Bombyx mori: one gene and its partner. The protein of the gene in region 1 interacts with the protein of each later gene in a pairwise test. Links are inferred from orthologs where the notes say so. Each region holds a gene or a part of one and is shown in the gene's direction. Other genes may lie near its edges.

The links.
Region 2: the proteins of ralBP1-associated Eps domain-containing protein 1 (region 1) and ralA-binding protein 1 interact in binary tests that used the Homo sapiens proteins (3 or more experiments, as listed by UniProt). The link is inferred for Bombyx mori from reciprocal best matches to the Homo sapiens genes REPS1 and RALBP1.

What each region holds. Positions count from the first base shown.
Region 1 is NC_085109.1:4,003,988-4,015,944, forward strand, and holds the start of ralBP1-associated Eps domain-containing protein 1, read left to right. Parts: upstream 1-6,559; 5' UTR 6,560-6,786; coding exon 6,787-6,936; intron 6,937-7,020; coding exon 7,021-7,431; intron 7,432-9,328; coding exon 9,329-9,485; intron 9,486-10,035; coding exon 10,036-10,198; intron 10,199-10,278; coding exon 10,279-11,434; 3' UTR 11,435-11,957. Other genes in the region: uncharacterized protein LOC101742449, read right to left, coding at 54-156, 247-362, 727-853, 1,808-1,927; glyceraldehyde-3-phosphate dehydrogenase, read left to right, coding at 3,540-4,538. UniProt on the Homo sapiens protein: May coordinate the cellular actions of activated EGF receptors and Ral-GTPases.
Region 2 is NC_085113.1:5,998,254-6,010,210, reverse strand, and holds the start of ralA-binding protein 1, read left to right. Parts: upstream 1-4,760; 5' UTR 4,761-5,258; coding exon 5,259-5,343; intron 5,344-5,564; coding exon 5,565-5,703; intron 5,704-7,237; coding exon 7,238-7,436; intron 7,437-7,576; exon of another isoform or gene 7,577-8,552; coding exon of another isoform or gene 8,553-8,582; intron 8,583-9,689; exon of another isoform or gene 9,690-10,808; coding exon of another isoform or gene 10,809-10,898; intron 10,899-11,797; coding exon 11,798-11,957. Other genes in the region: golgin subfamily A member 5, read right to left, coding at 413-626, 1,024-1,218, 2,087-2,510. UniProt on the Homo sapiens protein: Multifunctional protein that functions as a downstream effector of RALA and RALB. As a GTPase-activating protein/GAP can inactivate CDC42 and RAC1 by stimulating their GTPase activity.

The sequences.
Region 1 (11,957 bases):
AAACGTCGCAACTATTAAGCCAACGACCCTACAATTCATAGTAAAGCAGTCACCTGAACATATTTCACCATCATTGACGCCCAAAATCAACATTGGTACGTCGACGCTTGGTGCAGTTACAATCACACGTTTGACTCTAACGCTTCGGAGATGACCCTGGTGGATAGAACTTATGTTAAAACAAAACGACAGCCTAGTAACGCTTGTGGTTACTTTTTTGTAACGTTTATTTTTGAAGTGTCTAACCGAAGCCTTTTCCAGTGAAGTAAACATTCCAGAAGATTCGATAACATATTGAACGCCAGCAGATTGCCATGGTATACTGGACGGCAGTTTCTCGCGGAATATTTTTATGGGACGACCTGGAAGAAATGCATTTATTCTGCAGATAAATCCAAATAAGATGTTGAATCGCATTACATTAAATCTTGACACAAGTAGATGAGGCCACTTCATGTCTCAAGGTGGTTAATGTAATAATTTCAAATTTCTCATACAAGCCAACTTAGCATAGCATTATCAGTTACACGTGGTACGAATTCAAGTGTTGTTTCTGAATGTATTTGATAGATACCGAGATTTATGTAACATTTAGATCTGCGGACACACCCAAAAGGTCATCGTACTTATGGAGTGCGATAAATACCGCGATAAAAAGAAACTAGTAAACAACTTCAGTATATAAAATCGTATTTATTTAATAAAATGACGAAACTATTAACGAACCGTCCACAATTATTTCGTTATCATCATTTCGCGTGACCGTTCCCGAAAACTTTCCATGTGTGGAGTCGAATTTTATCAAGTAGCAAATGTATTCTGCATCGATTGCTGGGTCGTTTATAGCTGCTACCTTGAAGAGGAATTAATAAATCAACATTTCTAGTTATATATCCAATCTATATATATAAAAATGAAACCCGTTTTCCGTTGTCACGACATAACATGAAAACGGCTTGACCGATTTGGCTAATTTTGGTCTTGAATTATTTGTCAAAGTCCAGAGAAGGTTTAAAACGTAGATAAATATGAAAATTCTCGGAATTAAATAAAAATAACAATTTTGTTTTCCCTTTGATGTGTCCCCCGTCGGATGGATTCCTTTTGTTTGTTTTAAGTTTATTTTATACAAAAGCTTAGGTATTTATTTATAGATTGAGGCACTACGAAGTCTGCCGGGTCAGCTAGTAATAAATAAAATAACAGATAAACGAATTTAGGATTTAATTTTATTAAAATTTATGAACTGAAAACCGGATATTAGCTAGCATTGACCTTTATAAGGCTCGCAAGGTATTGTAGATTGTAGTATCAAGGGGATATTCGAGCTTTGCCGGTTCTGTAGGCGAGCTTATATGGCTCAGTCTGAGAGAAATTGCTAATACTAGTCCTAGCAAAAACAGTGCTTCGCTAAATCTATCACCAGATCGGAACTGTGACCCACTGATCCGCCGAGATACTCAATGGGCTCTGTTTTTCTATGGGTTAGGTTGCACGTTGAGCTTTTCGTCGCATAGACGAGTTCGCCGATATCGGTGACCGGTGCTTTGAGTGCCAAAAAGCTCTGAAACTTAATCGGGCGTTCCATTGTCCCTGTCATCTGAATCGAGATATAGTTATATACGGCCACGATAATCCAATTGGAATGCTTATTCAGAACCTACCATTTTATAGTCAGTTTTCACTATATTTTACAATTTTACCCATAAAGGCTGATTTCTAACATATTACCAGTTTCCTTCATTTAGAATGCAGTTCATAACTTCCATTCCGTCAGTAAGAATCTAACTATGTTAATTGTACAAACCTCTAGCTCGTTGTGTAGGAGACATGTTCTAAAAATAATTCTGCCAATTCGGCCGAATCCATTTATACCTAATTTGGTTACCATGACAAATTTAGTAAAAATGATCCGAAATATATACATAGGTATTCTATTAGGGTAAGATTAAGTTCATCTTGTTTACATCGGGCTTACATGTCGTGTCTTAGCGTTTGTATAATCTATGGCATACAATAAAAACTATTTGACTTAAATTTACTAAATATTATAATAGTAGGTACATACCCGTGCAACTACCACATTAAAGAATGAATGAAATTCTCAATTCAGTTATATTTTTTTATATTGGTTAGGTACCTCAGAACTAAGATGTTAATGAAATGAATTGGAAAATTATTTTCACTGAAAAGGATCTACTTAAATAATTTCCAATTAGTTTCATATGAATTTCATCGTAATCCACAAAATCTGGTATTACATCAAAATTATTATGAATCTATGCCGTCCAATATTCGAAATATTGTGTTTTTTCTTTTAACTCGATATATAAATGACGTAGGTTTACCCTCTTTTAAAATTTGTATGTATGTATGTAATATATTTATTCATAAAAAGTTACACTTACATTCAATACATGCCCTGCAAAACTGCTTACGCAGTTTGACTGCAGGTAAATTGTGCTTATTATATCTCCATCGGCATGTAAATTCAAATTGACACCTTGTTTTCATGTTTTGGTGTACTCAAAACAAGTTTATGTAAATACTATATAGTACTAAACTTTTCGTAAATAGTGTATATTTGTATTATCTATACCAAAACCAAAGCGATTTTATGGTTGCGTCTGGCCCTTCTCTATGAAAATTCCAACTTGACAGATTTTGTGAATTTGTCGGAATTTGTCCTTCATCTGACATTTTAAAACTCCATCTTGTACTGAGCGTACGTGGTGGTGGTCAGTTATTCAACAAATTTTCTATAACTTGCCGGTAAGTTTATTTTATCATGTTTGTCAAGGTTAATTTTCAAAATTTTTTATGCATTATAACTAGTAACTACTTTATTATCTGTTTTACTTTGATACCAGGTCGCTGCGACCACGTAACAATTTCACGATCCATTTTCGTATTAAAAAACTTTAACTGAAAAAAAGCATAAGTCATAAAAGTTATTGATCCCAATAAAATCTACATGCTTAAATAGTAACTACAGAATCTTGTGATTAAGGTATTTGTTAAATTTTTGTGTGACCTCTACGTGACCTCCACGCGCCGGTACGCTCATCAATAAATTGGGTATTTCTTCAAAAAAGCTATATCATATGAGATTTAGTAACAAAAAATTCATCTATCGCGTATTATAGGAATAAAGTTTATTATATAAGAAAATAATATCCCATGAAACTTAACAATTTCGCTGAAAAATAAACAAATATAGTAAACTATTTTAATAAATTACTGTAATATACTAAATGTATCATTTATAATTATCACAACACATTTTTGGTCCTCTATTTTTTTTTAAATATCTTTTTTCTGTTTCATGTACAATTTTCCTACAGATTTAAAATTTACAGATTAATTTAGAATCTGAAACTGTAGTAGGTACTAACTAACCTATGTATTACTTTTTTAATTTATAAGTAACAAAAAATTTCATAAAATGTTTTAAAAATACTACAATTATATATAAAGAAAAGTAAATTGATTCTAACTAAATCTAGTTTTAATTTGTCTTTATTTTCATTGCAGATAACATGTCAAAAATTGGAATCAATGGATTTGGCCGCATTGGCCGTTTGGTGCTCCGTGCTTCTATTGAAAAGGGAGCTCAAGTGGTCGCTATAAATGACCCTTTCATCGGTCTTGACTATATGGTTTATCTTTTCAAGTATGATTCCACCCATGGCCGTTTTAAGGGCAGTGTTGAGGTTCAGGATGGATTCCTTGTTGTTAACGGTAACAAAATTGCCGTTTTCTCAGAAAGGGACCCTAAGGCCATTCCATGGGGAAAAGCTGGGGCTGAATATGTTGTAGAGTCTACTGGTGTCTTTACCACTACAGATAAAGCATCTGCTCACTTGGAGGGAGGTGCTAAAAAAGTTATTATATCAGCTCCCAGTGCTGATGCCCCCATGTTTGTTGTGGGTGTTAACCTAGAAGCTTATGACCCCTCTTTTAAGGTCATCTCAAATGCTTCTTGCACCACAAACTGTCTTGCCCCACTTGCAAAGGTTATTCATGATAACTTTGAAATTGTTGAGGGCTTGATGACTACTGTTCATGCCACAACTGCTACACAGAAAACTGTTGATGGACCTTCTGGAAAATTATGGCGTGATGGCCGTGGTGCTCAACAAAACATCATTCCTGCCTCTACTGGTGCTGCCAAAGCTGTGGGTAAGGTTATCCCTGCTCTTAATGGCAAGCTGACTGGAATGGCATTCCGCGTCCCTGTTGCTAATGTATCTGTTGTTGATCTAACTGTTCGTCTTGGAAAACCTGCAAGCTATGAAGCCATCAAGCAAAAGGTCAAGGAGGCAGCTGAAGGTCCTTTGAAGGGCATTCTCGGGTATACTGAAGATCAAGTTGTGTCCTCAGACTTCATTGGTGATTCACACTCTTCAATCTTTGATGCTGCCGCTGGAATTTCTTTGAATGACAACTTTGTGAAGCTGATCAGTTGGTACGACAATGAATATGGTTATTCCAGCAGAGTCATTGATCTCATCAAGTACATTCAATCTAAAGATTAAACTCTTGATCAAATGTATGAATGTAAGGATATTTTTCAACATGTACGTCGAGATTATCTATCGGCTTAAATATAAGTTAAGATTATTATTATTTTTTGTAAATTATTTTACTACTTTGAATAGTAGTACACTGCTTGTTATTTAGAAAATACTTATAGAAATGGTTTGCTATATTCAAGTATTTGACGAAATCACAAAAATAACTTATGCAGTTGCAAATAAAATATTCAATCAAGATTGTTTTTTATTACACAATCCTAAATATCATGTACTCATGAGCGATGATTCTTTTGGAAGATATTTGAAAAAATGGAAATCAGGAATGTGAAACATTAATTTTTTTAAACGTGACTCACTTATTAGTTACGGCGAGTGGTATATATATATGTTTTTATTGCCCTTGTAGGCAGACGAGCATACGGCCCACCTGATGTTGAGTGGTTACCGTTGCCCATGGACTTCAGCAATGCCAGGGGCAGAGCCAAGCCGCTGCCTACCGATATACGCCTGTATATTCGTATCTAGTGATTAACTCATCTTAAAGAATTAACTAAGATTTTTACGAACGACTCATGACAAAGGAATTACTTCTAATTATATTTTGTATTGCTTTATATAAGGAAGGTAGGGTAGTGTTATCCACTTCCAACTTCACAGAAGCATGCTTTACCACTAGTATCTAACAGAAAACTAAGTTTTTAAACTGGTGAAAGCATACCACTTGTGTTAGTGGAATGAAGAACTAGCCAGAGACAAAAATTATCCGTTTAAATTGTAGCGTTGCTTATTAACATAAATAAGATTATAGAGACGAGTACCTACCTACTAAAAGAAGGAAATCAATTTTGGTTAATTAAAAGTATTTATAGGTAGAAATCTGAAAATTTGTTAGAATGTACGCAGTTTCCTTCTTTTTCAATTCTTGCTTCTGGCAGGCCATTAAACAATATTTAGTTACGATGTGGGATTCGCTAAGCATTTAACACTGACCGTAAGCTTCTTTGCCTACAACGATTATATTTTATTTTAAATAAAAAAGAAAGACCAACAATGTTGAGTTTCGAATTTGGGAAGAAGATTGTCTTCTACACTGGACATTAGGCTATTTTCAGAACTAACATATTTTTTAGGATAGGTGTACAAACTTTCCTCCTAACATGATTAATGGAATGAATTCTCGGTATTTATATTACTGAAAATGAAAAATATGTAACGATTTGTTTACAACTACATATTATGTGTTTGAACCTTGTATAAGTAGGTACATATTATTTCTCATTAAAACATCAACGCTTGTGAAAATAGAGATTATAATGAAAATATGGTTCAATGTATAATTTTTAAATCCGCAACTTTATTATATTTTGAACAGAATATTCGGTTGGATTCTTTAGAATATCTCAAAAAACCTTTTACTGCGAAAGCTGATGTCATACACTACGAGTCTGAACCAGCCAAAGCAAGATGCATTCAACAATAACTTGAATATTATATGGGTTCGGACATGAACTCTCTTGCTGTACCTATATGTGAGTCGACTATTATCAAAGCCGGCAATGTGACTTTTGAACAATTATTGCTAAATCAGAAAAACGAATTATTGACTTTGTATTCCATTGGCAGTCACAAAACTCTTCTGAACGACATCTTAGATAAATAACAGGTTAAGTATTAACCTTTATTTCATGCAGGTTTTGAACCGTATTCTTTGAAGGAGACGATTATATTCAAATCAATCTGTATTGACATATCATTAACATGTTTTTGTCCAAATGCACAGATTGCCACCTTTGATAATGGACGATTCATGTATGCACGGTACGTTTCGATATAATAATATCATAACCCTGTCCTGGTGAAACTGGAAAGACCTCCGGACCACCAACAATGCTTTCGTCATATTAAGAATAATTTAATAAAAAAATATCATAACTCTTTGACAAGGCTGACTAACTTTAATTGCGTGACTGGGCTGAAAGACTGAAACAAATTGCTAAAGCACCCAGATCGAATATTGTGTTAGGTCTGTGGTCGTACAAATGATGGACGAAAGTCGCTTCAGCTGTCTTTGTTCTGTCAGTGACATTTCGTTTGCTTCGTGTAAATTTTGTGATGAGCAAGATACAAATCCATCTATTTACTAAGGAATATGGTTTTTATCAATAGATAATGATTACTTTTGTTGTACATTTAACCTGGAATTGATAAAAGTTATAGGAGTTTGTACAGTTGTTAAATTAATAAAATAATGGAGGATCTCAACTTGACAGAAACCGAAACAAGATATTTCGGTGATTTGTTTTTATGTTGTGATGAAGAATCTAATGGGAAAATACCAATTTTAAAAGCAACAGAACTATTTAGATCGTCGAACATATCCAATGATATTCTGAAACAGGTAATAAAATGAATAGGTTACACCCATTAAGTGATAACACAGGTTGTACATATAATATTGGTACATAACTTTGATATTTTTCAGATCATGGATATAAGCGTGTCTCCTAACAACTGTGCAACATTAAATCATATGAACAGGAAGCAATTTTACTCAGCACTTAAATTAATAGCTGCACATCAAACTAACATAGCACTTAAACCTGATCTTTTATCAACTCCTATTGATCTTCCACTGCCGAGGTTCACGTGGGCACTTAACTCAGAAGCTAATTCTGATTTAATACAGCTATCTAATTCTCCTAAAGAGCATCACATATCAAAACGTGAAAGAAATTTTGTTGGAAATATTAGTGCTTATGAACCAATAAGACTATCTTCTAATCTGTCTGATAGTGATGTTCCGCAGACATTGTCTCATGATGGGAATGAAGCACTCAGTACTGATTCTGAAATTGAGTCGGAAACAATGTCACAAAGATCTGGATCGCGTGGTGTAAGTTTGGGATAATTTTTTTATTCAATACTTGCTTGGATATCTTAAATCAATTGTAAGATTAAGTAAATAGTCCACAGAAAAACATCACACTAGGTAAATAAAATTTATTTCATTACTTATTCAAATTTAAAGTCTATATAGACTAAATGCCGCAAATAACAAAACCACAGCTTTATTAGTTTATTAGTTTGATACAAAGACCAAAAAAAGAGGATGTTATAAAACTTGATTACAAATCCAAATGGTTTTTTAATATTTTCAAACTTGTATCTGCAAACTTAATTTATAAATATTGGCATGATTCATTTGTCATATGTCGAATACATTCTGTTACAAATGAGATACATATAATTTCATATTTAGTTGTTTTTGTTGGTGTATGAATGAGTTTTAATTTTGTAGTAATATTGTGTTTTATACTCTAAGATATGCTAAAAAGAATAAGATAGTGTCTGTGACAGAGAGCAAATTAGTGATTTAGAATGACAAGTCTCTAAAAGTCATTAAAAATCCTAATGAAAGTAATGTAAATTATTAGAGTAATTGTTGGTCTTCTAGCTTTTCTAATATTAAGCAGTAGCACTAGATAATTCTGTTTTAGCTTATATTATTCTGGACTTATATTGAATTTCAGAATAAGTGACTGAATTATTTAACATCTGTAATATTAGCATTAACTTTTGCCTTATCATGTATGCATTGGTTATTGTGAATTGGAATTGAGTATTTGCCAGAAGATTATATTATTACTATTAATCTTCAAAATAGATGCATGAGATATTCTCTTATTAGAAGATAAAATTACCTCCAATCTCCTGTAGCTACTATTAATAAAGATTTTTATGAATATGCATTTCACACCAAAAATGCTTCTAAATTCAGTCTTTCTGTATTTCAAAATTTAATAAAAATGGTCTTGTACAGACTGACTCAGTGGTCTCAGTGACTGTTGCACCGAGGACATCCATCCAACATTGGGCAAATATTTGTGTGATGAACAGGTTATTTCTCTTTGTATGGGGCTTTATTATCTATATATGTTTATATGTAAACAAATATAGAAGTGTGTATGTCAGTCTCTTGTACCCATAACACAGGTAATCCTAATTTGGAGCCTGATGAGCATTGCATGATTTGTTCCCAGTTATTTATTATTATTATCATTTATCTCCAAATAATTTCATTAGCCTTCTGTAGCAATAGCACTCTATTTAACCAGTGTTTCCCGAGCGCTATGATATGTCCATCTTCAAACAAGGTTTGTGGAGAGTATTAAACGGTAGGCAGCGGCTTGGCTCTGCCCCTGGCATTGCTGACGTTCATGAGCGGCGGTAACCACTCACCATCAGGTGGGCCGTATGCTCGTCTGCCTTCTTTCTGGTCGTTCCCTCAATGCTGAGGATCGTGACTGTATGTCAATCTTCTCCACTCGGTCCGGTTCTGCGCCATATGTACCGCTCCCCATATCTGGCCTCCAGTCACCTCCTTGAGTTGGTCAACCCATCTAGCTGGCGCTCTTCCTCTAGCGCGCTTCCCCTCCATCTGTCCGAGAATTGTGAGTTTCTCCAGGCTGTGCAATGAGGATCGCATTATGTGCCCAAAGAAACTCCGGATCCTTTCCTGGCACATAGTCAGCAGGCGCTTGGTGACCTTCAGCTCTTCGAGGATGGAGACATTGGTTCTCATAGCTGTCGTCTGCCTATACGGCAATAAAAAAAAGAAAAAAAAAGCCTATCTCAAACTCTATTCTTCATTATTGTGTAACAGCAATCAAAGACAAAATATAGTATCTATGGGAGCTTTTGTAACTGCTTAATCAGATGCACCCTGGGTTGCCGATCTGCACTTAAAATAAAAGAAGAAAATATAATTGAAAAATGACAAATCTTAACAGCGGAGAGTGAAAACTGGGTCACCCTGGAGCACAGCGAGTGAAAGCCCAACCCCAACCAACAGCGTTGCCGAAAGAGTACACCCAGTTTGGGAACATAGTGCCACCGGTCGAGGAGTTTGGCCTACAAATACAGCTGAAGAACACACAAGACTTTTAGGTAAGTAGATTTCTACAACCATACATAATACACCCTTCACACTGGAACGGATGAATTTTTGGTGTAAATGAATGTAGATGTTGAATAAAGTTTGACTAACAAAGTGTTGTTTCTTCTGAACTGAACTTTATTTCATAGTTATTGGGTTGACCTTGTCATATTGTCCCATGTTGAGTACAAATTAATTGGTTAGTTAGTTATATTTTATATAGATAGACGTAAAATACCTCCCTCCTCCGTGCGTCGTATTCCTTAGTTCTGAGGGTCGTGACCTTTACTGAGCACTTTTGTTAGGACTATGTTCCTCCATTCACTTCTGTCCTCCGCGCAGTGTATAGCAACATTGATGCTGGATTCCAAAGTCGTCTTAATCTGATCGGACCAGCGCATGGGACTACGCCCCTTAGGCCTCTTTCCTTCCACTTTGCCGGTGATGAAGAAGTCTTTCAAGATTGTCACCCTTTTTACAAAATAACTAAAATACCTAAAAATACCTTATATAGATTTAGAAATTGATGTAATGTTTTTAATATTTTTTTAACATTTTAAGGCACAGAAGAAGAATCGTCCGATCGTCATTCATCTGAAGAGGATGGCGAGGGAGATACTTGCAATGACATCTGGTCTATCAGTGAGGCGCAGGCGCATCACTACGCGTCACAATTCTCACAATTGCGACCCGAACGAGGACTTCTGTCCGGACAAACTGCAAGGTACGTTCGAATGAACAAATAACAAGTTAAACCCAAAGTGAAAGTACTTAAAATAATTCATTATTGTATGTTTTTGACAGGCTATTTTTCGAGAAATCAAGACTTCCCGTACCCGATTTAAGAAAAATTTGGCAACTATCCGACATCGATAAAGATGGAATGCTTTCATTAGAGGAGTTCAGCATAGCCATGCATCTCATTGTATTGCGGCGGAACAATATTCCGGTACCGGAGATGCTACCCCCACCGCTCGTACCAAAGGTCGATTCGCGCTTCTCACAACGCGTCGTCACTACCGACCTCGTTGACCTCGGCGCCGAGATGTTCGGCTCGGGGACTTCAGCAGACTTCAATTTCGCACCGAAATCGGACAGTGGCGCTGATCCGTACGATGCCAAAACGAGTCGCCGGCCTGAGGAGCGCCATCCGTCGGCTTCGCCTCCAAAGGCGGACGCGCAGCCGAACAAAGAGTGGACGAAGTTCGTCGACTCTCCTACATCCAGCGTTTCGAGTCCCGGTCCGAAACCAGTGAACTTTGACTTCCAGCGCGCCGCCGTCGAACGAGATCCGAAAATTTTTCATCCGGTCGCGCTGCGGGTTACACCAGAAGCTTCAGCCGGCGACGGGGACTCCCGCGCCTCCGCCTCCCCGCGGCGGGACGACGTTGCACTCGCTTTTGAGCTCGCCAGCCCCAAGCGTCCTGCCGAAACAAACGCTTCCGCCGCCGATACCCGACCTGTGCAGAGACCCCAACCACGAAAACCAGTGAAAGGGACGGGAGCTCTGCCCCCTCCTCCGACTCGCGAACCTATCGCCGCAGCAGACGAGGGGCCCGCTTCGTTGCAACCGTTGCCACGCAAAGAACCGCCACCACCGCCGCCGCCGCGTCCGCTCCGCAACCACGCACGCTCTAGTTCGCTGGACCTCACGCGTCTCAAGGGTGCACCTCCGCAGCCGCCGCCGAGGGACCCGCCCGCCGACGTACCGCCCGAGTACGAAGCCGAGGGGTTCGGGTACAATCGGGAGGACGCGGCGCGTTCCCAGGGTGCCTTCGAGGTTTACCGGCGTGCCTCTCGTGAGCCCTCTGCGGACACGGAGCCGGATGTGAAGGCGCTGCAGGAGCAGAACGCCGTGTTGCACCGCGTGTGCCGCGCGCTCATTGCCGAGCTGGCGGACGTGCAAAGGGACCGCGAGCTATTAAGGGTGCGTCTCCACCCACGCTCCCCACCGCTCTAGTCGAAGAGCCTCTTTCGTGCAGACGGTGGATGTTTTTCAGCGCTCTCCGCCGCTTAGTAGCTTCCTCTGTCCGGTTGATGTTCAACCGCACGCCCCACTGCCGTAATTGAGGAGCCTCCCCCGTGCGGTCGGTTAATATACACCCGCCCACCCCGCCACTGTAGTTGAGGAGCCTCCCGTGCGGTCGGTTGACGTCCAACCGCATGCCCCATTACTGTTATTGAGGAGCCTCCCCCGTGCGGTCTGTTGATATCTACCCGCGCACTCCGCCACTGTAGTTACGGAGCCTCCTCCGGGCGGTCGGTTGATGTCCATCCGCGCGCCCCACCATTGTAGTTTAAGAGCCTCCTGCGTGCAGCCGTTAAGTCTCTAACCGCGATCCCCATCGCTCTAGTCCAAGAGCCTCCTACGTGCGGTCGGTGGGTCCACCAGTCGCGCTTTTCACCGCTCTAGTCTGGGGCCTCCACGGATTCGATGGGAGTTGGTTATTTTGAAACGTGCGCGGAAACATACAAACAAAGCG
Region 2 (11,957 bases), on another chromosome or scaffold:
TACACGTGAAGCATTTAAGACAAGGGTTCAAGAACTGTTTCTCAGAGAGTTAGCAGAGTCAACTAATTGATATTTATTTATATATATTTATATTAGTATATATTGATATATATGTATTTATTTAAGTATGAGTATTTGTGTCTATAAATGTTATGTATGTTATATATATGTTTAAGTACCTAATATTCATCTCTGCATCCCCCTAAGGTAGACTGTCAGAGAATGCCCATGGCATTAAGTCCACCTATAAACTGTCAAGTATATAAAGTTATAAAGAAATATCTATAGAATCTGAAAACCACTTAGCACCAGGTCAGTCATGAACTTGCCTATGAATTATAAAATGAAAACAAACATTTTCCCCTGAATATAAACTTTTACTTCTATACCAAATTTGATAATTGATTCAAACCTATCTTCTAATTCAGTATTTTGATCCTTTTGCGCACACAGCTCATTTTCCAAAATCCGAATCCTCTCTTTATGATTAACAACTTCAATGTTCACCAAATCATCCACTTTTCGCTTTATCTGTTCCAGTTGAGCTCTCAATGAATCTTTTTCAGAACTAACATCATTATTTTCTTGCTTAGCCAATTTAATTTCAGTTTGTATACTATTGAATTCTGTAAATTAAGACAGGTTTTAATTTACGAGTATATGGATAAGAACGACATATGGCATATGTCACCAGAATTAATAAATTTCACAACCAGTCTTCAAAACTATAACATATCACTTAATTATGCTATTCTACAAACAATAATTAGTAATACTGTATATCAATTTATAAAAGAATATTGAGAAATAAGCATATTTATTTCACAAACAAATCAATTTCATAAATTTATTATAAATTAAAGTTACAGAATTCACCAATTTAAGACTTGTAAGTCTCTATAATTCAAATAATTGACTACAAAGCATACATACACAATTTCCAATCAATGCAAAAAAAAATTAATTATTCCACACTTTGTAGAACATAAAACAATTAATATGAAGCTGTTTAAATTGAAATACCTGCATGACCATTAGCTACTTTCTCTACTTTATTACCATCCTGTGTTTTGCGGAGTTTCTCAAGCAAATCTGCGACTTCTCTATTCAACACATTGAGTTCATTTTTCAACATCACATTTTCAACTTCCAAATTTTGCATTCTGTACGTCCATTCTTCATCACTTACTATTTCTAGGTCAACTGGCAAACTATGTCCTGAGGACAATGTTTTAATTGGGTTTATAGTTTATCAAAAGGAAATAATGATAATATTGCAGGTATACTATCTTGATTTAGCTCAATACTAAATGAATACATTATATGCATTGTGTACATATAGTAAGAAGCAGAGACCATGACTTCTTCATGACTTTTCAACCAAATTCTTTAAGTCATTAATGTTTCATTTATTGTGAAGGCCTATTATGTATTTTTCTAACACGTATGGAGCTTATGACTTATGCTGATTTAAAAAATATTAAACAGCAAATATGAAACAGTTAATCAATATTTTTAAACACTAAGAAACAAGAAAATAATACTTTGTCTAATTAACATGGACAAATGCTATTAATTCTAGTCTTGATGGGATTAATAAAGTAGCTTCCTATATCAATTTTTGCCTGATTTTAATGCACAACCATTCTTAAGCAAAACACTGCTGGTTCAATTTAGACCACCAGTCTACCAAGCAATATCACCCACTCTGTGGAAGATCATCCATTGTTTACTGGTGGTAGAACTTCTTGTGTCCGCAAGTGTAGGTACCACCACCCTGCCTATTTCTGCCAAGAAGCAGTAATGCATTTTGGTTTGAAGGTCAGGGCAGCCATTGTACCATTAAAAGTGTGAGACCTTAGAACTCATGTTTCAAGGTGGGTGGCAGCATTTACATTGTAGATGTCTATGGGCTCCTGTAATCACTTAGCACCAGGTGGACCGTGAGCTCGTCCACCAACCTAACCTATAAAAAAATTAAAAATAAGAAAAAAATTTTATTTATTTATTTTATTGTCACCAGCATCTCCAACTATTTTTAATTGCAGAAACTTGCAACCAACGTTAACAAATTTAAAATACTTACTTCTTTGCCTCAAACCAAAATGGTCAGTATTGCTACCTTTAGTATCACAGACTAATGTATCAGGACAGTTGTCCAAGGTATACTGGTTAGATTTTTTTAAGGGTTTCTTCGTTTTTACAACTCCATTTCTTACTGGCTCTTGATTGCCTTTTACAGGAGATTTATTCAAATTCTGTATAGGAGAAATCTTTCGAGCAGGAGTGTAATTTGAACGTGGCTCGGGAACGGGTGAAATTTTCTTTAAATTTCGTGGTATTGGCCTTTTTCTTTGGTTCCAGGAAGGGTCTGGATGTAAGATAAAATCGGAGTTTTCTTGTTTACGTGCCTTCACAACATTGTGATTGCGTAGGGCTGCTCCTGTTTGCTCGTCTAAATTATTAAGAAGTGTCTCAGCTTTTCCAGCTAAGTCCGCAAACCAAGCCATTTTAATTTATTTTTTGAAAGCCTGAAAATTTTTCTGCACAGTAAATTATTAATAATCTTAATTCGAAGCGATGATTACATAATTATTATATTTTTAATTACAAAACAGAGACTGATCGAGATTTATGTACCCAAATTTTGCGCAGTTTTACACGTCTCGTTTTTAGTGATAATTTATGAAGAACATAAACAGTCATGACGATCACAACTGTAGTGTGTTTAATAAGTAAATTTTGTATTGTTTATAAAATCCATAATACTGTTTAAGTAAGCTGTGTTAAAATTAAATTTTATCAGAAAACAATTTAGAGCATTATTTAGACACGTAAAACTTAATGTCAATTTGATCTTTTCGTTTTTTCGCACATGAGAGCAAAGGTAACTTGCCCAATCGCATCAATTGCAACACGCATCAATTGCATGTGAATACTAGCTTTTGCCCGCGACTTCGTTAGCGTGGAGTAGTTACTTTGGCATAACGCTAAATTATACCCACCTCTTCATTTAAGTAGAAAGTGAAAATATTTTTGAATAATAGAAAATGTTAAAGAGCTATTTAAAGTACCAAAATCACGCTTTTTAACCGACTTCAAACGAGGAAGTTATCAATTCGACCATAATTTTTTATCTATGTATGTTCACCGATTTCTCGAGAATGCTTGAACCAATTCTGATAATTCTTTTTTCTTTTTTTGTTCGAAAGGGTATACTTCCCGAATGGTCCTGTATTCATCAAGATTTAATGATAGGATCCTGGAAAAATCTAGAAAAATCTATAATTGTCAAAGCCTATCTTGAAGTGATTTGGGTGTTTCAATGTTGTAATGAATAACATATTTGTTTGGATAGGGATTAATATAATCTTTATAAAAACACCTTCACAAATAATGCTTTATTTTAGAAGAAACTTGATTAGCATAAAAAACGTAATAGTGAGCCAACCTTTAAATATACACATATGCTGTTACGGAATTTTTTTTTAACTTTTAAAAGAGAACACTTTTGTCATACATTATTTTAGCGTAACTTTAACCATTTCCGCAGCGCATGCAGCAGAACCTCTCAAAAGGGAAAATACCACGATTTAGAAGCATTCTTTATTGCTGCTCCGCTTGCATTGGTCTTAGCGTGATGTTATATAGCCTATAGCCTTCCTCGATTAATGAGCTATCTGACACGGGTTTTTTTTTTTTTTTTTTTTGTTGCTTAGATGTGTGGACGAGCTCACAGCCCACCTGGTGTTAAGTGGTTACTGGAGCCCATAGACATCTACAACGTAAATGCGCCACACACCTTGAGATATAGTTCTAAGGTCTCAGTATAGTCACAACGGCTGCCCCACCCTTTAAACCGAAACGCATTACTGCTTCACGGCAGAAATAGGCGGGGCGGTGGTTACTTACCCGTGCGGACTCACAAGAGGTCCTACCACCAGTAATTACGCAAATTATAATTTTGCGGGTTTGATTTTTATTGCACGATGTTATTCCTTCACCGTGGAAGTCAATCGTGAACATTTGTTGAGTACGTATTTCATTAGAAAAATTTGTACCCGCCAGCGAGATTCGAACACCAGTGCATCGCTCGATACGAATGCACTGGACGTCTTATCCTTTAGGCCACGACGACTTCATAAAAAATTTCTCGCCGGATCTTCTCAGTGGGTCGCGTTTCCGATCCGGTGGTAGATTCTGCGATGCACGGCTCTTGCTAGGGTTCGTGTTAGCAACGTCGTCAGGTTTGAGCCCCGTAAGCTCATCTGCTAGTTAAGGTTACGCCGATATAGCCTCTCAAGGCTCTCAGCTTAGGTAGGAAAAAAAAGATCGATTTATTCGACACTCGTAACTATTTGATAAGATTATAAGGATAAATTCTAAGACGGAAGTTAAAATATTATTTTACGCTGCTCTGTTAAGTTTGTTACCGAAAATACCATTGTTCAAACATTTTATCAGGTATGTTTAGGTACAGTGCATGGATAATACACTGAATATTTAATATTTACATTATTTTATTTAAGACGGGTTAATTTTTATATAACTTACTTTCTCTCTGTTTAAAAAACCTGAAAAGTTCTAAGAAGATAATATTATTTTAATGGTTACATTACTTCCTTGAGACTGTGTGGGCTACGTTCCCTTTACCTGTCGAACTGAACAAAATAAACGAAAATATTTATTTTTTTTAAGAGATTTTATGACCTGGTAACTAAGACCTTTAAGTCATGTCTTATTTTACTTTATTTTCTTAATTTTATGAAAAATGATAATATGGAGTGAAATGAAATGAAGATGATTAATTTGAGACATTAATCAACTGGGATGAAATTTAATGAAATGAGATGATATGGGATGAAATATAATCGCAGTAAAATGGTGGTCATTTACTGAGATTTTTTCAGTGGACTTTTTGGAGGAACCCGAGAAGTTACGTCCAGCAGCTTTGTTTCATTTTCCCACATTTGTGCACTTTCACAGATATTAAACAGTTAATAAACCACCATTATTACACATTTAAACCTGAAGAAACACTAAATAGACAAAATAAAACAAATCACACAACTTCACTCCTCGCGTTCCCGCCAAAAAGTCCAACGAAATTATGTGTTTGTTTGTGTAGTGCATAGATTATACACATAAGTGTAGTGTATTATATATTGGTATTTTGTAATAATTTATAAAAATATAATAATAAACGAAAATATGTACAAATAAACGACTTATTAAAACAAAGTGACATACCAATAAAAATGGATTTTGAAAGTCCAGATGTTGAAAAGGATTTCCCCGGTTTATACGCTTCAGAAAGTGGACGTAAAAGCAATGAAAGTGACTGTAAGTATTATCTGTTTTTGTACACAATTTACCCAAAATTGTGAAGCACAAATCCCTACTATTACGAAGTTTTTAAACTAAATCAAATGAAAAGGATATTTTTACAATAACAAGGTAAAAATCTTTAACTCAATAACATAAGTGTCTATTTCTTTTAGTCGGTTTTATTAAATTGCGAATAATCGAAACTTGTTGATACATATTTATTTTTTAAATTATAGTTAGCGATGGTGCAGAACACGAAAAACCAAGTAAGAAAGACTTGCTAGGACGCAGGAAAGAGAAGAAAGAATCTAAAAAAGATAGAGGTTATGCAGCACTGGAAGGAGAGAGTTCACCTGAAGAAGACACTGATACTAAGTTAGTGCATTAGAAATGTAACTTAAAATTCAATTTTCACACTCAGTTGTGAAGTCCTGGTTTCAAACAAATGAAACACATTAGAATAATATGAACAGCTTCGAGAATCTAATGACAAAATGCCAGTGCATACCTTGTTACTAATGCTGCCAAATTCCTTATCCTTCCTTATCTATATACTCCAGTAGTTCCCGAGTAATATACTTTTTAAGATTAGATTGATTTTATGAGTAAATGTGTGCAGCAATATCTTGTAGTGTCTAAAAAGTTAAATAGTCAACAGGTGGGCTGTGATAATATGATTTGTTTAAATCTGTAGAAAATAAAAAAGTCAATGTTTGACTGTGCTTCATCGTCTTTGTAGGAGAATCCTTTTTTTTTTTTGCTTAGGTGTACGGACGATCTCACAGCCCACCTGGTGTTAAGTGGTTACTGGAACCCATAGACATTTACAACGTAAATGCGCCACCGACCTTGAGATATAAGTTCTTAGATCTCAGTATAGTTACAACGGCTGCCCTACCCTTCAAACCGAAACCCATTACTGCTTCACGGCAGAAATAGGCAGGGCGGTGGTACCTACCCGTGCGGGCTCACAAGAGGTCCTACCACCAGTAATATAATTCTCGCATAATGCACTTGTATGACCACATATAACATGTTATGTACAAATTTAATATACATAGAAATACAATACAATATAACCAATGTTTTTACAATTCTAAAACTAGGAACACAAATTTAATAAACAAATTATACTTTATTTTGTAACAACACAATTGACACACTTATTACAGGTGGTAGAACCTCTTGTGAGTTTGCACGGATAGGTACCACCGCCCTGGTTATATCTGCTGCTAAGCAGTAATGCACATAACACCAGGTGGGCTTTGAGCTTGTCTACATTTCTATGCAATAAAAAAAAAGGGCAATGGTACTTGAAATTAATTATGATGTAATGAATCATATGATAATGTAGAGTAAATATTATAATGTACAAATCATTATAAATTTCACAGGACTGAAATATAATATGTGAAATCCCCAGGTTATATGCTGGAATACCCGTGTTATAAGAGAGACTGAAATCACCTATTTTAAGAGTATGTGTTATAAGGGGATTACTGTATTATGACATAAATTATTGACTATGGTAAAAATAGTCACGAATACACATATACATGCATAACAAACTGTAGTAAAATACTTAATTAAAGTCTTCTTATGACATCAATGACCTGATTGCTAGGCCTGGTCAGTCATACTCCATACTTTATGTCTAATTATCATCTTTTAATAAATTGTTGATGGAAAGGCCCCCTGAGTTGCACAATATATTGACAGACCTTGGAAAGCCACATCATTTTCATTACCACAGGCTCCATTAACCAGTCAACAAGATATGGGACGTCAACTTGAATAACTATTTATATTAACCATAAAATTGTTAATAATATAACAATAACAGAGCATTTGTTCTGTATATATATTCTGCGTGAGTATTTATGATAATAATATCTATTTAATCCAACAGAAGTCCATCGAAATCTAAGAAGACAAAGTCATTCAAGTTCCCAACCAAAAGCAAAGAAAAGCGTGAAAAATCCCGAGATAAAGAAAAAGTTTTAGAAGAAACAGTTAAACATAAAGAAGTAACAGAAAAAGATAAGAAAAAAGAAAAGGAAAGGGAGAAAGAGAAGAAGGAAAAGGAGAAAAAGAAAGAAAAAGATAAGGTAATAATATAAATTTTAATGCGTAACAATATGGTTTTAATACACGGTAATAATGCTGTTTGACCCTTCCAACCATGACTTGACCATCTTGACAACTTCCAGAAACTAACTAACTTTCTATAAGCATAACATGACTGTCAAACGTTAGTTGACATGGACCACTCATGGCTAATTTAATTGTGAGTAATCACCCTGGCTCATTGGCGTTCTACTGAGGACCCTCGTCAACCATAAAGAAGGACATGTTGTCAGTATTAGAAGAAAACTTAGTGAATATTCATACCGAAAAATAAAGTGAAAAAGACATGAATAGCTCAGTTATTTATATTTTTATTCCAATCTATTTAAGATACAGTAGTAGTGCAGGTTAATGATATCAGTAGATATTATCCACGCTACTGATTTACAGCCATTGCATCAAACAGAATAGACCTTGATGGCACAAACAGAAATTTCCCTGAATTGCCAATGATCGTATTATGTTTCAACTCACATAGACTAATGTTTGTGAACGCATAAAAATAAAATTTTAATATTAAGTCTCTTTAATTTGCCAAGAAGCCCACCTTATGCGTAGTTTTTAGCATCCCATATTGACTTATCAACACCAGGTACACAGGCAAACCGCTGACCTTCGAATTCAGTCTTGACTTTAAACTAGTCTTCAATCTGCACAAAATGGCTAAATAATATCCTTTATATTTGCAACATGCATCGAAATACCGTGACTCATTACTCTAAAATAATTCGTTACCACCTTATTGCCAAAAGGGATAATAAACTCATAATTATCCGACTTTAAAAAAAAATATGTATATTTATTTGTACAATATGAAATGACTTTATATTGAGAGTACCATTCACTTTATTTGTTATTCAAATATTCAATCTTATTTACTCAATACTAAATGTTTCATTTTCGCGCTTCAGCGCTTGATACCTTTTTGCATAATTTTGCGGTTGCCTTTATACGCTGGCCAATTTGCGTTGACACTTGGTTAGCGAGACCGTCATTAGTACACGTGGGTCTATGAAAATTATAAAGGTTGTAGGTGTTCGGCCTTGGATGGATGTGGTCGTGTCATGGTTTATTCAGTTGTATCTTGAAATCGCGTCATGCATCACCTACGTAGCGTGTTTACGAAGGTACAAAATCGATTGTTAAACAAACTTTTGTGTGTTACGCGGAAATTTTATTAATGTTTTATTTACTTCATGTTTTTAATATTCTAATAAAGATATCGAAATTAGTGCTACATAAAATGAATAAAAATGAAAACGTAAACAGACAGTAAAATGAATTTATAAATCAACTGTCGGTGCATTTATTGAAAAATATTAAAGTCCGTCATTGGTGTTTGAAAGTGAAATATGTGTAGTACTTACCTACTTAAAAACTTAACTTGATAAGTTAAATTTAATTAATATCAGTGTTAAAAATATTGCACAGTTAATTAAATCAAATCAAAAAAAATCAAAAAAAAATTTATTCAACATAAATGAAAGTACATACTTGTTGAACGTCAAATATCGGTAATGTTTTCGAAAAGACATTTGTGTCCTAGAACAATATCCGCGGAAAATTTGTGTAGTTACCTGCATTTTATTTTATCGTAACACAAGATTATCAGTGAACAAACAAGTTTTAAACAAACAAGATATATATTTAGTCTAATGTCCGGTGTTTTAATGTATGTCATCATAATGTGACTTCAGAATTTTGTTTGCAATAACAAATAATATTTCGCAATTATTTCGTAAAGCTACGCTCACTCAAGTAAAATGAAAATCAATTCTGGTTGTTGTTTATTGAATTATTGTTTACTGGTGGTAGGACCTCTTGTGAGTCCGCACGGGTAGGTACCACCGCCCCGCCTATTTCTGCCGTGAAGCAGTAATGCGTTTCGGTTTGAAGGGTGGGGCAGCCGTTGTGACTATACTGAGACCTTAAAACTATATCTCAAGGTGTGTGGCGCATTTACGTTGTAGGTGTCTATGGGCTCCAGTAACCACTTAACACCAGGTGGGCTGTGAGCTCGTCCACACATCTAAGCAATAAAAAAAAAAAAAAAAAAAAAAAATTAAATTAAAAAAAATAACAAGTAGAAAACCAAAACCGAAAGAAATGCATTTGTTTGATATATGTACAGACGACTGCACAAGTACATGGACACCACCTTAAGGTCTATATTCGCTTGAACACGCCGTTTCTCTTTTTCCGTTTTGGTTTGAATCTGTCCGTGCACCTTTGCTGGGTATAGTACATAATATGTGTTCGTGTTTCCATTTTGGCGAAATTGCAAATATCTTTCAAACTAATATATCATCTACTGACGACTCCCAACAGGCTCCAAACGGCGTCTTTGTTAATATTATATGTACGTCAGTTTGAGATGATCCCCTCATCTCCTTTTTATCATCGCACATCCCGCCATCGGAGCAGAGTTCATCCATATCATCTGGAACCGCTGCGTTCATCGACAGTGCGTTTCCAGAGGTATTTTTTGCCACGTACCACCCGGCTATGGAATGAGCTCCCCTCCACGGTGTTTCCTGAGCGCTATGACATGTCCTTCTGTAAAAGAGGCTTGTGGAGAGTATTAAGCGGTAGGCAGCGGCTTGGCTCTACGCCTGGCATTGCTGAAGTCCATGGGCGACGGTAACCACTCACCATCAGGTGGGCCGTATGCTCGTCTGCCTACAAGGGCAATAAAATAAAATAAAATAAAAACGTTAGGTCCACATTACCAGAGTTGACTTTCAGTGAAATCGAATGGCTTAACGATACGGGTCTCGTCTCGAATCCGCGATCTCGCGATCGATTGGAACGCAAAATGCAATTGAGTCGCGTGTGCGTTTAAATATAGGCCGTCGACAACCCAATCCAGTAACAGACCAAGTTATTTATTTTAGGTGAGATTTGAGTATGTCAGAACCAGATGTTAATCCAGACCAAACTAGGTCACCTATTTAACGTTTATATGATTATGTACTATTTAGTTGAACGTAAAACGCATATATGTGAAGACTATCGCGGCTTAGATAAATGAGCTAAACCTTGATTGAAGAATTTCTTTTATCTCGCCTTGTATCTTGTATGCGTTGCACATATTTATCTGTTTGTTGTTTACAGTTTACAAAACGTCGTATCTATACAAACATACAAATCGACGCTTGAAATGCAAACGTGACTAAGCGACAATAGCTGCTTTGTACATAAATGATAGGCAATAACCATATTCGATGCGCAAAAAAATATATATTTCTAGGTCTATTAAAATCATTTCAATCCTACAGCTAGATTATAGCCTACAGCTAAGTATATTTTAAATTGATTTCAACTTTAAATTAGTCTACTGTAAAGTTCACGCAATGCCGCTTAGTCACGTTTGCCTTTCAAGCGTCGATATGTATGTAAATATAGTTGTAATCTTCGAAGTGTGTTTAATATCTTTACGCACGGTACGTAGAAAACTGAAAATACATTAATTTCACCTTACTGTTTCGTGAAGTATATAATAACTATGATCTTAATACCTAAAGTAGTTAGTACACAAATCAAATATTGACATCTCCCGTTCTGTGGTATTTTCCTCCCAAAGTTTTATGAACGACTAGCGGACCGCTCCGGCTCCGCTCGGATTTTTAACAAAAATTTCAACGGTATTTGACGTTTTATTTTTTTTATAAAAGAACACCTATTGCGGCATAACTATAATAGTCAGACATATGTTTTTCGCGACACATTTTGTAAATAATAATGTGTTCTACAAAGTCGTAGTTACATTATTTTATTCTATCATCAATAGTGTTCGCAGGGCATGCGATGTAAAGAATATTTTAAGTAATTTTTTTACACCTTGGGTTACATTATTGGAGTTTTAGTAAGGATCCCTATTTTTTTTCAAAAAAGATTATAGCCTATGTCACTCGGGAATAGTGTAGCTTCGAAACAGTGAAAGAATTTTTCAAATCGGTTCAGTAATTTCGGAGCCTATTCAATACAAACAAACAAACAAATATTAGTATAGATACTTTATATTATCACGAGGACTAGCTTGGAATAGACTATCCCTAGTTTATGGTCTTGTTTTTTTTATTTATAACTTAATTAATAATAAAAAGTGGTAGGTTAAATAAAGACGAATCAATACAATACAACTGAAGTAACAGATATTATCTTCGCTTGCATGTTCGCAGCGGCATCAATTAAATGAAATTAATAGCGAAAGTAGAACCATAATATATGCGTATAGCTTTATTTCATACGTACCAACAATGAAGAATAAATCTTCAAACATTTGTTAGTAACAATCGCGACACGAAAGAGACATACAAAGAGAAATGATTTAATTTTCCAGGAAAAAGAAGAGAAGGCCAAATTCAAATTTGAATCTAGAGAAAAACTTAAGGACGAGAAAAAAGAAAAGGTAAAGGACAAAGATAAGGAAAAGTCCAAAGAGAAAGAGAAAGAAAAGGTGAAGGAAAAAGACAAAGATAAAAAAGACAAGAAATTGACGA